Pelodiscus sinensis: one gene and its partner. The protein of the gene in region 2 interacts with the protein of the main gene of each other region in a pairwise test. Links are inferred from orthologs where the notes say so. Each region holds a gene or a part of one and is shown on either strand. Other genes may lie near its edges.

Region 1 (7,619 bases), on a different chromosome or scaffold from region 2:
GCTCTGTACTGCCCCCTTCCCCCCCACAGGGCTCTGTACTGCCCCCTTCCCCCCCCACAGGGCTCTGTACTGCCCCCTCCCCCACAGGGCTCTGTACTGCCCCCTTCCCCCCCCCGCAGGGCTCTGTACTGCCCCCTTCCCCCCCCCGCAGGGCTCCGTACTGCCCCCCCCACAGGGCTCTGTACTGCCCCCTTCCCCCCCCACAGGGCTCTGTACTGCCCCCTCCCCCACAGGGCTCTGTACTGCCCCCTTCCCCCCCCACAGGGCTCCGTACTGCCCCCCCCCACAGGGCTCTGTACTGCCCCCTCCCCCACAGGGCTCTGTACTGCCCCCTTCCCCCCCGCAGGGCTCTGTACTGCCCCCCCCACAGGGCTCTGTACTGCCCCCTTCCCCCCCGCAGGGCTCTGTACTGCCCCCCCCCACAGGGCTCCGTACTGCCCCCCCCACAGGGCTCTGTACTGCCCCCTCCCCCCCCCACAGGGCTCTGTACTGCCCCCTTCCCCCCCCACAGGGCTCTGTACTGCCCCCTTCCCTCCCCAGGGCTCTGTACTGCCCCCTGAATGCCCGGGGGAGCCAAACACAGTGCCCACTGCCCACTGTGAAGTGCAGCAACCGAGTGGGCAGCCTCAGAGGTGCTCTAGGGGCAGGAGGGCCCCCACTTACCGGCTCACAGTAGCAGACCACACAGTGCATCACCCCAAAGGGCTCGCCCAGATCCGGGTGCCAGGTGTCTTCCAGGGCATAGAACCTGCCTCCGAACGAGCAGCCTGGAGATGGGGAACAAACTCCTGAGCGCACAGCCGGCAACCCAGCGCCCAGCTGTGACACCCTGCTACACCCAGCGCCCAGCCGTGCCACCCTGCCGCACCCAGCGCCGTGCCACCCTGCTGCACCCAGCGCCCAGCCGTGCCACCCTGCCACACCCAGCGCCCAGCCGTGCCACCCTGCCACACCCAGCGTCCAGCCGTGCCACCCTGCCGCACCCAGCACCCAGCCTGTGCCACCCTGCCGCACCCAGCGTCCAGCCGTGCCACCCTGCCGCACCCAGCGCCCAGCCGGGCCACCCTGCCGCACCCAGCGTCCAGCCTGTGCCACCCTGCCGCACCCAGCGCCCAGCCGTGCCACCCTGCCACACCCAGCGTCCAGCCTGTGCCACCCAGCCACACCCAGCGCCCAGCCTGTGCCACCCAGCCACACCCAGCATCCAGCCTGTGCCACCCAGCCACACCCAGCACCCAGCCGGGCCACCCTGCCGCACCCAGCGTCCAGCCGTGCCACCCTGCCGCACCCAGCGTCCAGCCTGTGCCACCCTGCCGCACCCAGCGCCCAGCCGTGCCACTCTGCCGCACCCAGCGCCCAGCCGTGCCACCCTGCCGCACCCAGCGTCCAGCCTGTGCCACCCTGCCGCACCCATTCTGTGCCACCCTGCTGCACCCAGTGACCAGCCATGCCACCCTGCCGTATCCAGCACCCAGCCTGTGCCACCCTGCCGCACCCAGTGCCCAGCCTGTGCCACCCTGCCACACCCAGCGCCCAGCCTGTGCCACCCCGTCGTACCCAGAGCCCAGCCTGTGCCACCCAGCCCCCAGCCGTGCCACCCTGCCGCACCCAGTGCCCAGCCATGCCACCCAGCGCCCAGCTGTGCCACCCTGCTGCACCCAGCGCCCAGCCGTGCCACCCTGCCGTACCCAGCACCCAGCCTGTGCCACCCTGCCGCACCCAGAGCCCAGCCTGTGCCACTCTCATTCCACCAGGTTTCAGTGATGCCTATAAAAGGCTATTAGCCAGGGGATAAAATGGTGTCCTTGGCCTCTGTTTGTCAGAGGCTGGAGAGGGATGGCAGGAGACAAATCGCTTGATCATTGTCTTCCGTCCATCCTCTCTGGGGTACCTGGTGGTGGCCACTGTCGGCAGACAGGATACTGGGCTAGATGGCCCTTTGGTCTGACCCAGTACGGCCGTTCTTATGTTCTCCCTGCCGCACCGTCCTGTGCCACCCTGCTGCACCCACATGTGACTTTGCGGCCCAGCACCCGGCCTTGTGCCACCCTGCTGCACCCAGACGGACTCCCCCCTCACATCCAGCCAATCCCCCTCTTCTGCTCTCCTGTGGCAGCCAGGGGCTGGCCTGGGCCCACTCACCCTGGGCCATCTCTGCCCGCCCGCTGCACCCAGGACACCTCACACAGCCCATGTCCATGCCATGGGGGCTTGCCGGCTGCCTCTGGCCCCTCGCGCAGGCCCTGGCACCCGCCTGCTGCCTCTGGCACGGGGCAGGGCTCTGCCCCCCTGCCCCAGCCCTGGCACGCGCCTGGCAGGGCTGGCGCGGGGCTGGGCCAGCGGGCAGGGCTGTGAGCTGCCGCGCTGGTGACACGCTGCCCGGCCCGGCCCCTCCCCGCCGCTGTCACGCGTCCAAGCCGAGCGCACGGGGGTGTCAGTGGATGCAGGCGAAGCAGATGGAGGCTGGAGCGCAGCTGGGCCAGGGAGGGCAGCAGGAGTCGCTCCGCGGGCCCCGCTCGCCCCAGCCTGGCCCCCGGCCGCCCCCGCCCCCCCGACCAGCCGCTGCCCCGCGCCGCCCGGGGGGCTCCCACCTGCCGCCCCATCCCCGCGCCCCGGGCCCCTACCTGCCGCCCCCTTGGAGGGGAGCGGGTCCTTCTCGGGCTGGATGGGCAGCAGCGGCTTGGGGCGGGAGGCGGCGGCCGGCGCGGGGCGGAGGGCGAGGGACAGCGCGGCCAGCAGCAGCGGCAGGCGGGCCATGGGCGCGCACGGCTGGGACCCCGCGGGCGGCGCGGGGCGAGTCAGGGCTCCCAGTGCCCCGGCCCCGGCCCCCGGCAGGTTTTATAGGCTCCGGCACGGGCCGCGCGGAGCGGGGGCATCCTGAGCAAACAAAGGCCCCGCTAACGAGGCGCAGGCAGCCGCCGGCCGGGGGATTAGGGCCCCCAGCGGGGGTCCCAGCGCCCGCGGCCCGGAGCCCAATGGGAAGCAGACGCGGGGCCGCGGGGGGCTTGTGGATTGGGCCCGCGGTGCGCGCAGCCCGCCCGGCCGATCCGCCCAATGGCAGCGGGCGGGGAGCCCGACGGGGGGAGCGGGACGGGACAGCCCGGCCCCGCGCACGCCCCGCTCCGCGGAGCTGCCTCTGCCCCGACTGACAGCCCCGGAGAACAGACGGAGGGGCCCCCGCCCTGTCCGCGGCAGGGAAGCCCGGGCCCCCGCACCTCCTGCTGCGCTGCCGGCCCCCTCTGTGCTGCCCGAGCCCCGCACCTCCCGCTAGAACCCCTCCGCACCCACCTCGCTGCCTAAAACCCCCGCATGCCTCTGCTTGAACCCCCTGCACCCCCTGTGCTGCCTGAAACCCCTGCACCCTCCTGCTTGAACCCCCTGCACCCACTGTGCTGCCTGTACCCCCTGCACCCTCCTGCTTGTACCCCCTGCACCCCCTGTGCTGCCTGAAACCTCTGCACCCCCTGCCTGTACCCTGTGTACCCGCTGTGCTGCCTGAAACCTCTGCACCCCCTGCCTGTACCCCATGCACCTACTGTACTGCCTGAAACCTCTGCACCCCCTGCCTGTACCCTGTGTACCCGCTGTGCTGCCTGAAACCCCTGCACCCCCCCTGCCTGTATCCCCTGCACCTTCCTGCCTGTACCCCCTGCACCTACCATGCTGCCTGAAACCCCTGCACCCTCCTGCCTGTACCCCCTGCACCCACTGTGCTGCCTGAAACCCCTGCACCCCCCTGCTTGTACCCCCTGCACCCGCTGTGCTGCCTGAAACCCCTGCACCCCCCTGCCTGTACCCCTTGCACCTACTGTGCTGCCTGAACCTCCTGCAGCCCCTGCCTGTACCCCCTGCACCTACTGTGCTGCCTGTACCCCCTGCACCCTCCTGCTTGTACCCCCCTGCACCTACCATGCTTCCTGAAACCCCTGCACCCTCCTGCCTGTACCCCCTGCACCCACTGTGCTGCCTGAAACCCCTGCACCCCCTGCCTGTACCCCCTGCACCCACTGTGCTGCCTGAAACCCCTGCACCCCCCTGCCTGTACCCCCTGCTCCCACTGTGCTGCCTGAAACCCCTGCACCCCCTGCCTGTACCCCCTGCACCCACTGTGCTGCCTGAAACCCCTGCAACCCCTGCCTGTACCCCCTGCACCCACTGTGCTGCCTGAAACCCCTGCACCCGCCGTGCTGCCTGAAACCCCTGCACCCTCCTGCCTGTACCCCCTGCACCCACTGTGCTGCCTGTACCCCCTGCACCCTCTTGCCTGTACCCCCTGCACCTGCCCTCCTGCCTGTACCCCCTGCACCCTCCTGCCTGTACCCCCTGCACCTGCCCTCCTGCCTGTACCCCCTGCACCCTCCTGCCTGTACCCTCTGCACCCGCTGTGCTGCCTGTACCCCTGCACCCTCCTGCCTGTACCCTCTGCACCTCCTGTGCTGCCTGAAACCCCTGCGGTCACTGTGCTGCCTGAAATCCCTGCACCCTCCTGCCTGTACCCCCTGCACCCGCTCTGCTGCCTGTACCCCCTGCACCCTCTTGCCTGTACCCCCTGCACCTGCCCTCCTGCCTGTACCCCCTGCACCCTCCTGCCTGTACCCTCTGCACCCGCTGTGCTGCCTGTACCCCTGCACCCTCCTGCCTGTACCCTCTGCACCTCCTGTGCTGCCTGAAACCCCTGCACCCTCCTGCCTGTACCCCCTGCACCCACCGTGCTGCCTGAAACCCCTGCACCCTCCTGCCTGTATCCTACTGTGGTGCCCGGAGCCCCGCACCTCCCGCCTATAACCCCTCCACACCCACCACGCTGCCTGAAACCCCCACGTGCCCCTGCCTGTACCCCCTGCACCCACTGTGCTGCCTGAAACCCCTGCACCCCCCTGCCTCTACCCCCCCTGCACCAACCATGCTACCTGAAACCCTGGCACCTTCCCGCCTGTACCCGTCCACCCACCCTGCTGCCTTAAATCCCTGAACCCTCCTGCCTGTAACCACTCCGCACACACCACACCACCTGAAACTCCTGCACCCTGTTGCCTGTACCCCCCGCATCCACAGTGCTGCCTGAAACCCCTGTACCCCTCTTGCCTGTATCCTCTGCATCCACCATGTTGCCTGAAACCCCTGTACCCCCATCTGTATCCCCTCGCACCCACCATGCTGCCCAGACCCCCGCACCGATCGCCTGTAACCCCTCTGCACCCACTGTGCTGCCTGAACCCCCCACACCCTCTTGCCTATATCCCCCGTCCCTCAGTGCACTACTGGACCCCACCCTGTTGCCTGGACCCCTGCAGCCCCCACCTGTATCTTCTGAACCCCACTGTGCTGCCTGAAACCCTCTCACCCCACCACCTGTATCCCCCTGCGCCCACCAGGGCGCCTGAAATCCCTGCATCCCTGCCTGTATCCACCTGCACCCACTGTACAGCCTGAAACCCCTTCCCCGCACCAGACTGCCCAGGCCCCCGTATCCCACCTGTATCCTCCACACCCCACCGTAGTGCCTGAAATCCCTGTAATCCTCTGCCTGTATCCCCCACCCTATTGTGTTGCCTGAATCTCCTGCCCTCTCACTGCACTGCCCAGACCCCCCCCATCCCAGTCAGTACCCCCTGCCCCTCATTGTGCTGCCCGGATCTCCTGCCCCCCACTGCACTGCCTGGATGCCCCCACCCTCTGCCTCTAACCTTTGCCCCATCACATTGCTGGACCCCTTGCCCCCCACCCATATCTCCTGCCCCCTCCACTGTGGTGCCTGGACCCCTCCACACCCTGCACTGTGCTTCCCGACCCCCTGCTGCCTGTACGCCCATGTCCTCCACAATGCTGCCCTGACCCCCCGCACCTTCCACTGTGCTACCCAGACCCATGCTGCCCCCCATATCTCCCTGCCCCCCACATTGCCCAGACCTTCAGCACCCCCGCTCATATCCCCTGCACTCCCCATCCTGTGCACCTCTCCACTGCACAGCTCATACCCCCACAACTCCCATCTCTCTGCACAGCCTGCACCTCCCACACCCCTTCCGGGTCCCCACCTATACCCCTGCATCCCACAGCTCTCTGCACAGCCCATATCCTCCTGTACCCACAGCCCCCACCCCAGTGCACAGCCTGCACTCCCACCTCACCCCCGTCCCACAAGTGCTGTCCGCACCCCACCACACAGCTCATATCCCTGCACCCCACCCCGCCCATACCCCCTGAACACCCTGTGCCGCCTGTACCCCATCCTATGTGTTCCCTCTGCACCTCCACCCTCCTGCACAGCCATTCCTTCTGTACTCCCACCCCACCTGTACCCTGCTCCCCCATCCCACCTGAACCTCCTATCCCGCCTACCATGTTCCCATTACTTTTTTCCATCCATGGGCAGAATAAATGTTGTTCTATGCACCAGGGCATGTGCGGAGGTGCACCACCCATAGAAACACGCTGCCAGCTGCTGCCAGCTGGGGGTGCTCTGCTAATCAGCTGGGCGGTGTTTGAACTTCTCCTGGGTGGCCGCCCGAGTGCCCAGCTTGCAGGGATCACAGGCCACGGGCCCCACCCACCTGCATGCGCTATCCCAGATGTGGGCGTGCCACGGATGTGGACGGAGGCAGCAGGGTGTTCTCCGTCCTACCCTCTAACCCTTTCTCAGTCATTCCCACCCCCTCTGTTCGCCTCTTTCCACTGCCGCTGCCTGTTGAGTAGAGGTTTTCACCGAACTGTCCACGATGACTCTAAGCCCTTCCCGCCCCGCCCCCAGGCTCTCTCCAGCTTCCCGGGTGCTCAGGGTTCTAGGCCTGACTCTGTGTGACCTTGCTAACCAGCAGCTGCAAGGGTGCAGGCTGGGCCTGGGGACAAGGAACTACCCCACCCCGGATGAACCCAGCCCCCCTCCCACAAATGGGGCTGTGTGCTCAGCCCCTCCCAAGAGGGCTCCTTCCTCAGGCAGGATCAGGCCCTGCCTGCCCCCATGTAGCTGCTATGCTGTGGAAAGGTCGGTGCACAGCCCTAATGCAGACCCAGCACTCCATAAAACCAGTCCGGTATCCTCCAATATAGCCCTGCTGCAAGGCACAAGATGCTGCACCTGCTGGCTTGGAGGGATTTCTGTTGCGGACAAGGAATATGGCTTGGTTTACAAGCTCTCAGCCCCCTAGCTACACATGTGGTTCCAGCCCTTCTGAGGAGCAGGCTGACCAGCTATATTTCGTCACACAACGCAGAAACAACCTGTGGAACTCCTTGCCAGAGGATGTTGCGAAGAACAGGACTTTAACAGGGTTCAGAAAAGAATGAGAGCAGTTCATGGGGAATAGGTCCATCAATGGCTATTGGGCAGGATGGGTAGGGGTGGTGTCCTAGCCTCTGGTTGTCAGAAGCTGGGAACGGGTGACAGGGAAGGATCACATGACGATTCCCTGTTTTGTTCACTCCCTCCCACACCTGGCATTGACCACTGTGGGCATGCAGGACACTGGGCTAGACGGACCTTTGGTCTGACCCAGTCTGGCCGCTCTTATCTCCTTACATCCCCTGAGTCTGGGAACTGTGTGGGGTGGGGCACCTGAGGCTAATACCCCTCACTATTGGTTCGCCTGCTGCTGGGTCAGGGATGAGTTTTGCTCCAC
Region 2 (7,887 bases):
GTCACTGGCAATGGGAGAGAGAATGAAGCTGCATTTCTTGGGTCAGCTTTAAACCAGGGCTAATTAAATGTGACTCTCTGAACTATGGGCCTACGATGTGAAGGAAAACTGACTGAAGACAGTTTCTGCTTTTGAAGAGTGCTGTTTATATCTATGTCAGCGTGCAGTTCGAGGTGAAAAGGTTAGCACTTGAACCAGGAAGTTCTAGTATGTGTTTTTCAAAAATAGATCTAGTTCATAAATTCCCTCTGCTGCACTAGAGAGCGGGTGTTTTCTTATATTTCCTAAAAGATAATATTGGTGAAACATTAAAAAAAGGGAATTAGACTTGTGTAATGTGGCAGGGTCGAACAGAGTTCTGACCTCACCTCACGATCAGGAGAAATTATTTTTTATTAAGTCGCATATCAAAGGCCACATCAGTGACAATGAAATGTTGAGCTAAGTATGATCAACAACGGCACGAGAGGAAATAAAAAGGACCCACATCAAGCATACCTGAAACGTGAATATATTTATTACAGACATTTTCGGACCCGTAAATTCTGTTCTGGATTCATCACGCTCAGAATCTCAGAACCTTTAAATGATTGCACAGAAAAATCAGGAAGATGGTTCTGTTCACAAATGACAACTGATAAAACTCAGTGTACCTTAAGTACATCAAAGCACTGTGCATCATGCAGTGTTCCATACACGAATCACATAAAATATACATTCATTTGGCCATTCATCACATTTACGATTTGGTCGAAAAGACATCGAGTCGAGGGTAGGATTAATATGAAAATAGGAGTAGGTCAGGTCTTTTGGATAATATACCCTTAGGTCCAATATAATCCAGCACAGATGGGGGAGTGAACATACCACGCAAGGTTTACAAAACCTAGTGCAATTGAAGCCTTTTTCTTCTATCTCATCAAAAGAAACCGTGCCATTATTTGAGGTATCTGATTGACATTAACAAATCATCTTATATGATCATCAGTTTTAACAATATAAAATTGAATCCAACTTTGAGAATGTACCTACCCTATTTAATCTGATAATCTAAACAGCATTTCTAGAAAATCTGTAAAAAGATAAATCTCTTGGACAAAGTATTTACAACCAGCAAACTCATACACACGAAAAAGAATACATTAAATTAAAGGATGAAGGTACTATAATTCGTGTAAACACTCTCAATAGTGCATCTCTTCATGAGGTTATGTACTCTACATATCCTGTCTTTATGTAAGGAAAAATATAGAAATGTCCTTGATTTTTTTTTCTACTGAGAGAAACTCTTATAACTGTGCCAACAAATCTTCTGCAGCAAATAACAGCGCGAGCTGGAATTTTTAAAAATAGAAATATTGAATAAGTGGTCAACAGAAACCTGATTATGGAAACCACTGTTTAGTTCTGCATAGACTAAACAGCCGGAGAGCCTTCTAAAACTAAATTCTCTGGAAACAAGTGGATTGAAAGTAAAGATGACTGAAAGATTAAAAATACTTTAAATCAATGAAGCTTGCTAAAGATGTGGCTCTAGAGTGAGAGACATAGATCTAATGCAGTGGGGGCCAGAAATATTTCAGTTTGAGGTAGTTAGAGTGTCTGAGGTAGATGAAGCTGGTGATGGGGTGCATGGGGATGAACTGGACTTTTCTGATGATTCTTCTGTTTTTTCTTCACTTCCTGTTGGGGTAGCAGGGGAAATGGGGAGCAGCCCCTCTTTCTCTCTTTTCTTCTGCTTCATTCTACGGTTCTGGAACCAGATCTTCACCTGTGTTTCATTCAGCTGCAGTGAAGCAGCTATCTCCACCCTCCTTGCCCTCGTCAAGTACTTGTTGAAGTGGAATTCTTTCTCCAGTTCTGTGAGCTGCTTGGTGGTAAAATTGGTCCGAACGGTGTTGGGCTGACCTACGTATCCGTACTCTCCAGCTTTCCCTGCAAAAGTACAGTCAGCGTTCAATGAGTGAGGCACAGGCGACATAATCACAGCATGTACACACAGGTAAAACGATATGAAACAAGAACTTCTTACAACGAGAGGAATCCGGGGACAGTGAGTGATGGAGTGTGAGGTGCTAACATAAAGTCGGCCACTAGTGTGTATCAAAGGCAACTTGATAAATTGTTTACGAATTACAAGAAATATTACCACAGAAAACCCCCGCTTGGAACTTCCATTCGATCAGCTGGAGGACCCTGTCCATCCTTAGTGGTCTCAGACCTCCTTACCTGTAAACAACAAGGCACCTGCCCGCTGTAGGTAAGAAGGGTTTGGTCTCGTTTTATTAAAGAAAGTGGAAGAGGAAAGAAACAGCCCCCTGCTCTGAAATCGCGACTAACCTGTTTTAGGCGGGTTTCTTTTAACTTTCATCCAGTCAAAGGTTTGTGCTGGAGGCGAGGTCTCTGCAGAAGGAGAGCGACAAGCTTCTTGGTGGCTGGCATGGAGAGGGGATAAGGAATTGCTATAACTCGCTAGAGGCAGGTTCTGCTGCTCCTGTCCGTATGAGGGGTGCATGTACTGAGCGGGACCCACCGGGGCCCCAGCATAACCTTGGTGAGGGTGGGGATGCTGGACCATGGCAGATGAGAGGTTTCCAGAGTACACGGCGGGGGCGCATTGGGGATACCCTCCACTGACATCTGCTTCCTGATTTAGTGCGTAGGGACTGTAACCCGCGCTGAAGTTCTGGGTGCCATATCCCGTGCCACAGCTAGAGTAGGACATGCCCAGATTGTTGTGAGGCTGGTAGGCACCGGTCTGATGGTGGTGGTGGTGGGGACTTATCTGGACCCCCCTGCCAACCATAAAGCGATCCTCCCCGTTGCAGTGAGTGGCAGTGACCGCACAGGACTGGAAAGTTGTAATCCCATGCTCTGGGGGGTAGGTGCGGGAAGAGCATGCCCCGGGCTCGCCGCCGAGGATGGGGTACTCGAGGAAGGAACTCATCCTCGCCGTGTCCATTTATCACCGAGTGGCCGGGTCTTCAGAGCCCTGGGTGACCGTGCCAACTTTCCCACTTCCTCCATGGGGCCGGGAGGAAAATGATATGAATGTACAGTGAGCTGGGGGCACGTGAGGGCGGCAGCCAATGGCTGAGCCTCCTGCTGCAAGGGCCCTGCTCCGGCTGGTGATGGATCACCCTTTCAGTGGCATTTAAATTCCGAGCGCTCCTCCATCAAGGTGACGCGAAGCCGCCACCACCTCCCTCTCCCCCCCCCCGGCTCCCTCCCCCTGAGCCAGTGCATTGGGGCTTCGGAGCCGGGGCCGGAGAGACAGTGTGCGCCCGGGCGCGCAGCCTGCAGCAGCGGAGGCGCCACTGGAGGGGTTGAAGGGGGGGGGGGGGGGTTGCAGCCTGGATTACAGGGCTCGGAGCCCCAGCTGGAGGCGGCCAGGTAAGAGGCGCTCGCTCGCTTTGGGCGCCCACAGCGGGTCGGGGCCGCTCCCTTCCCAGGGCGCTTGGAGGGGTGGGGGTGTCCAGCGGTCCTCAGCGCCGCTCCAGGGAAGTCCCCTCGGCGATCGGGACAGCCCCCCCCCCCCGTGGTCCTACGGCTGGAGGGTGCATGTGCGGGGCGGGGAAGCGGGCTGTGCAAAGGGGGGCTCCGAGCGGCGTTGCGGGGCTCACACCGCCCGGGGGGGGTATCCCCTTCCGGAGAGCCCCGCGCTCGAGCAGCTAAGAGTTAAAGGGGCTTGTCCCTCCGGGTCCCCGCCGCGCCGCTGTGATTAGCATGGAAATGAGGCGCCTTTGTAATTTAACGCCATTGTGCTGGGGCGCGGGGCCAGCGGAGCGGCCGGAGCGCTGCTGCACCGGCCCCTGGTTGTTAGGGCTCTGCCTAGAGCTCGGTCGGTGTCGGGGCTGGGGAGGGGACGGGGGGCGGAGAGCGGGGAGGAAAGGCAGGAAAATGGATGACGATTGCAAACGTGGAAGCTTTTCCAGGTTCTGCAATCCATCTGCGGGGTCCTGTGCCACACACACACACACACACACACACACACACACACACACACACACGGATGCAATGCGTGAGATCCAGGGACAGGTCCTAACACACCCAAGCACTGGAGGACATGCCCAGGAGTTAGGGGGAGGGGAAAGCAAAGGAGGTGAGGTGCCAGCCACAGCAGTCCCTATTTCCAATTAATCCTCTTTGTCACTTGGTGGCTGCCTACTCCACCATAGAGTAGACAGAGAGTAGAGGGGAAAGGTAACAGATGGCTAAGCCCCTCCCTCCCCCCCCCCCCCCCCCACACCACCACAACCCCCTGGGTGATCTATCTCAAACTTTCTCTTGTTCCAGGCAAGGAAAATTGTACCATTTTATAGAAAAGCGTGGATGGTGTTTGGCATCTGAGTTCACATTCACCTTATCTTTTCACACAGTTCAAGAGCTAGTCAACATGCAGATAGCCATGTAACTTCGGAAATAGTTTTATTCTTATCTTTTTCAGTCTGAAGAACTCTCCGTGTATTTATGCAGATACACTTCAACTTTGGCATGTGTTGCTTTGTCACCGTGCCCGATTGATTGTTGCTTGTATCTTAAAATATAAAAGGCTATTTCCCCCTTTCCTTTCTCCAGCCCTCTCCCTCCACCCACACACACTGAAGTGCAACATCCTCTTCCAAGTGATAAGCTACCAAAAGTTTCCGAGGCTCCTATTCGGGCTACCCATGTGTTCGTTTCACCTCCATAGCCCCCCCTGATATCACCGAATATACGTTCCCCCTCTTAAACTTATCCATAAAAGGTTTGTCTTTCTATTTACATTTTACACACTTGAACAGATTAGAGTCGATTGAAAACATCCAATGTCTTTAAAAGCGGGGGGGGGGGGGTGTCAAAGGGAGGGGTGGCCAGCAAGCCGGTATGGAACAATGGTCCCTCAAACCCTTTTTGGGCTGCAATATTGTCTTATTTAATTCTTGTCAATCCGTTGTGATAAATGCTGTATACACCAGGTGCAGACTCGGGCTGGTGTATCTGTTTACCGAAAAAGAGATGTCTTTTTCCTGGGTCTCTCTCTCTCACACAAACTTTGACGATTAACAAAAGTGTATAATATACCATGCATGTATAATCTATTTATATACACCACTGATGTCATACCATCATATTAATAGAACAGAATTGTTTACTGCAAGAACAGTGAACTTCTCTCCATATTTAAAAACAATGTAGCTGCAAATCTAACAGCAGATAGAATTCCTTTCCCAATATTTACCCGTGGTTTTTGCCAAGTAACAGCTCCTCTGTTACTCTCCTTTGCTTCCTTTAAACGGTTTCCTTCATTTCTGTACCATTGTTTTGAAGAAATCCGTGTCTTTTGTTACATTGTCCTCCTTCAATGCCTCGGATTCTGCTGCCATTACAGTGCCTCCATGCCACATAATGGAAAGGAGGGACACCAGGGATAAAATACCTCTTCTCCCTCCCAAAGAGAAAAGTTGCCCTCAGACACGATGGCATATGCACACAAAATTCAGAGCTATGCTGCTCTTATAAAAGGAAAACCTTTATGCTAGCCCCCAGCCTGCCCCCTTTGTTGCTTCGGCCCATCGGTTTGCAGAAAGTCGAGTTCCTTCCCCAGCAATTCAAAGCTTTGAAGCATTTCTGGCGCCTCGTGCGCATTCTTGGAACATTCCCCAAATAATACTTGTGTGTATATGCCTGTGTGTCTTTCACACACACACACACACGAACTTTAGGGGTAACAATGCGTTTCTTAGAGGAATTCTATCAGCTAGATTTGCAGATATTGAATTTAAATAAATCCCGAGAGAAGTTTGCTGGCCTTTGATTAAACAGCCCGGTCCATTTAAGAAGACGCTATGACATCACGCTGTGTAAAAGTCTTAGCGAAATATCGTAACGCCAATAATTAAAGTCCATTCGAACAGGCGTTAAAATCCTCGAGGAAACTGCCCTGTTCCAAAAGCGAAAGTGCTGAAGCAGGGAGAGAGAGAGAGAGAGAGAGAGAGAAGCTGGGCCGAGGTTTCTGCGGCATCCGCAGCTCAGCCAATCTGTTGTTTTAAACGAGCAATAAAAATGAATTATGACTAAACGCCTCCTAACTTAATGGTTTCAGACGGGGATCCCCGGCTCCGGCAAATACGTAAGAGGATTTTTATTTGTGCATGTGTTCCTGTCATTGATCTCTTTGATGACATTCTCATTCATAGAAAGAGCGTGATTTATGAGTTTAGGAAGAATTGCATCCAGCCCTTCCAGCTATTGCCCACGCATCCCAGCTCCACAGAGTGTTGCGGATCAGAGAAACAACACACCTCAAATGAAATGGAAACAAACTACTCCAGACACATGGATTCATTGACCGCGTTTCAGATATACCCCAGAATATTCAAAATCAAAAGGCGACGCGATCTGTGAGCAGTAAAACTACTTACTAAGCATCTGTTGCTTGATTTTAGCGCAGTATAAAAAGAAACCCGCTCGCCTTCTGAACTGGGTTATTAATATCGATAATATATTCTTACCTAATTAGTTGTAGTTTTTAATGAGCTTCGTTACCGCTGTAATTAAAAAAGTTACACATTTGGGACAGTGAGCCGTTCAAGTGGCTTCATTGCAATTGAAACATGTTCACCATTCGCTTCCAGTTTTAATGACCCACCCTTAGCATCGCAAACCGGTTTTAAAAGAAAGCGACCTCGTTATGAGACCCCGCAGAAAAGCCCGAAAGGAACTGCATTTAGAATTTAAATCCCTCCGAAATGGATTTTCTCGATAATAATTGTTCTTATTTCCTCTCTTTTTTAGGTTTGTTTTCTTGGAATCTTTCAGCACATGGGAGCTAATCCAAGCCGCACTTTGTTAGCCTTTGTATTTTTAAGGACGTGTTTCAGAAAACGACCTGGTGGACATATTTGCGCTGAGTTACAGAAGAATACGGTGTTTAAAATGAGTCTTCCACTCGTGTAACAAGCCAGCTTCTATGGCAGGCACGTTCCCATGTATAATAGATTATATTTTGCCTGTAACAGCCGAAACTGCACATTATGGTTTTTGTCACGAGTTAGAAAATCCAAGACTTGCGTTCACACACATAGACAACCTGTTATATGTACATTAAAAAGAAGAAATCTTGATGTGGAGGGGTTTAGTTATTACCTTTGTTGGTGAGACTCATCGGGTACTTTGAATTGACTTGTGAGAACCTTTGCAATAAAGAAATTGAATGTGATTTTTTTCGCTCTAATAAATCTATCAAATTACCAAAAGGTGAGAGATTGTGACCAGAATGTCTAATGTTATTTCTGAGGATAAATTAGGAGGGGTGGGGGGGAATACCCGTTATGTCTAGAGAGAGAAAGAGAGAAGAAAGCTACTTGTAGCAAACAAGAATTTATTCTACCAAAAATACTTATGACAACGCATCCTAATGTAATACAAAAATAAAAAGAAAGTGAAGATACAATTCTATATGATCACTTTCTTACAGGCCTCATATATTGCTTTCATAGAGGGACCTAGAATGTGACTAGGTTAAAATGGACACAACTAAAACTTCATAAGAAACAGTAAAAATGGCTCTGGAACACAGTACAGGGAATTAATAAACAGAAAATACTGACCAGGAAAAGAAAAATCAAAAAAGGAATTTGAAACAAGAAGCCATAACCCTTTGCGATAGATAGGACGTCTTTAATTTCTCAATAATTCAGATGCTGCAAGTCAATGGTAGTGAGTGTGTCTGTAAAAAAGTCAAAACTGTCAGCAGAAATATCTACAGGACTGTCCAGAGATCCTGGCAAACTGGGTGAAACTGCATCTGAGAGCTGTAGGCAGGAATCTGTGGAGAAAACGCTAAAGTCCTGTAAAGAAGGGACATCTAGGGCCTCAGGACTGTCATTGTTCAGGCCAGCTGCA

Evidence for each region. The genes of interacting proteins can lie anywhere in the genome.
Region 1: the proteins of HOXA1 (region 2) and CHRD interact in binary tests that used the Homo sapiens proteins (3 or more experiments, as listed by UniProt). The link is inferred for Pelodiscus sinensis from reciprocal best matches to the Homo sapiens genes HOXA1 and CHRD.

What each region holds. Positions count from the first base shown.
Region 1 is NC_134720.1:48,394,261-48,401,879, reverse strand, and holds the start of CHRD (chordin), read right to left. Parts: upstream 3,070-7,619; 5' UTR 2,758-3,069; coding exon 2,625-2,757; intron 768-2,624; coding exon 664-767; intron 1-663. UniProt on the Homo sapiens protein: Dorsalizing factor. Key developmental protein that dorsalizes early vertebrate embryonic tissues by binding to ventralizing TGF-beta family bone morphogenetic proteins (BMPs) and sequestering them in latent complexes.
Region 2 is NC_134712.1:196,637,270-196,645,156, reverse strand, and holds HOXA1 (homeobox protein Hox-A1), read right to left. Parts: upstream 3,011-7,887; 5' UTR 2,963-3,010; coding exon 2,341-2,962; intron 1,936-2,340; coding exon 1,580-1,935; 3' UTR 396-1,579; downstream 1-395. Other genes in the region: HOXA2 (homeobox protein Hox-A2), read right to left, coding at 7,671-7,887. UniProt on the Homo sapiens protein: Sequence-specific transcription factor. Regulates multiple developmental processes including brainstem, inner and outer ear, abducens nerve and cardiovascular development and morphogenesis as well as cognition and behavior.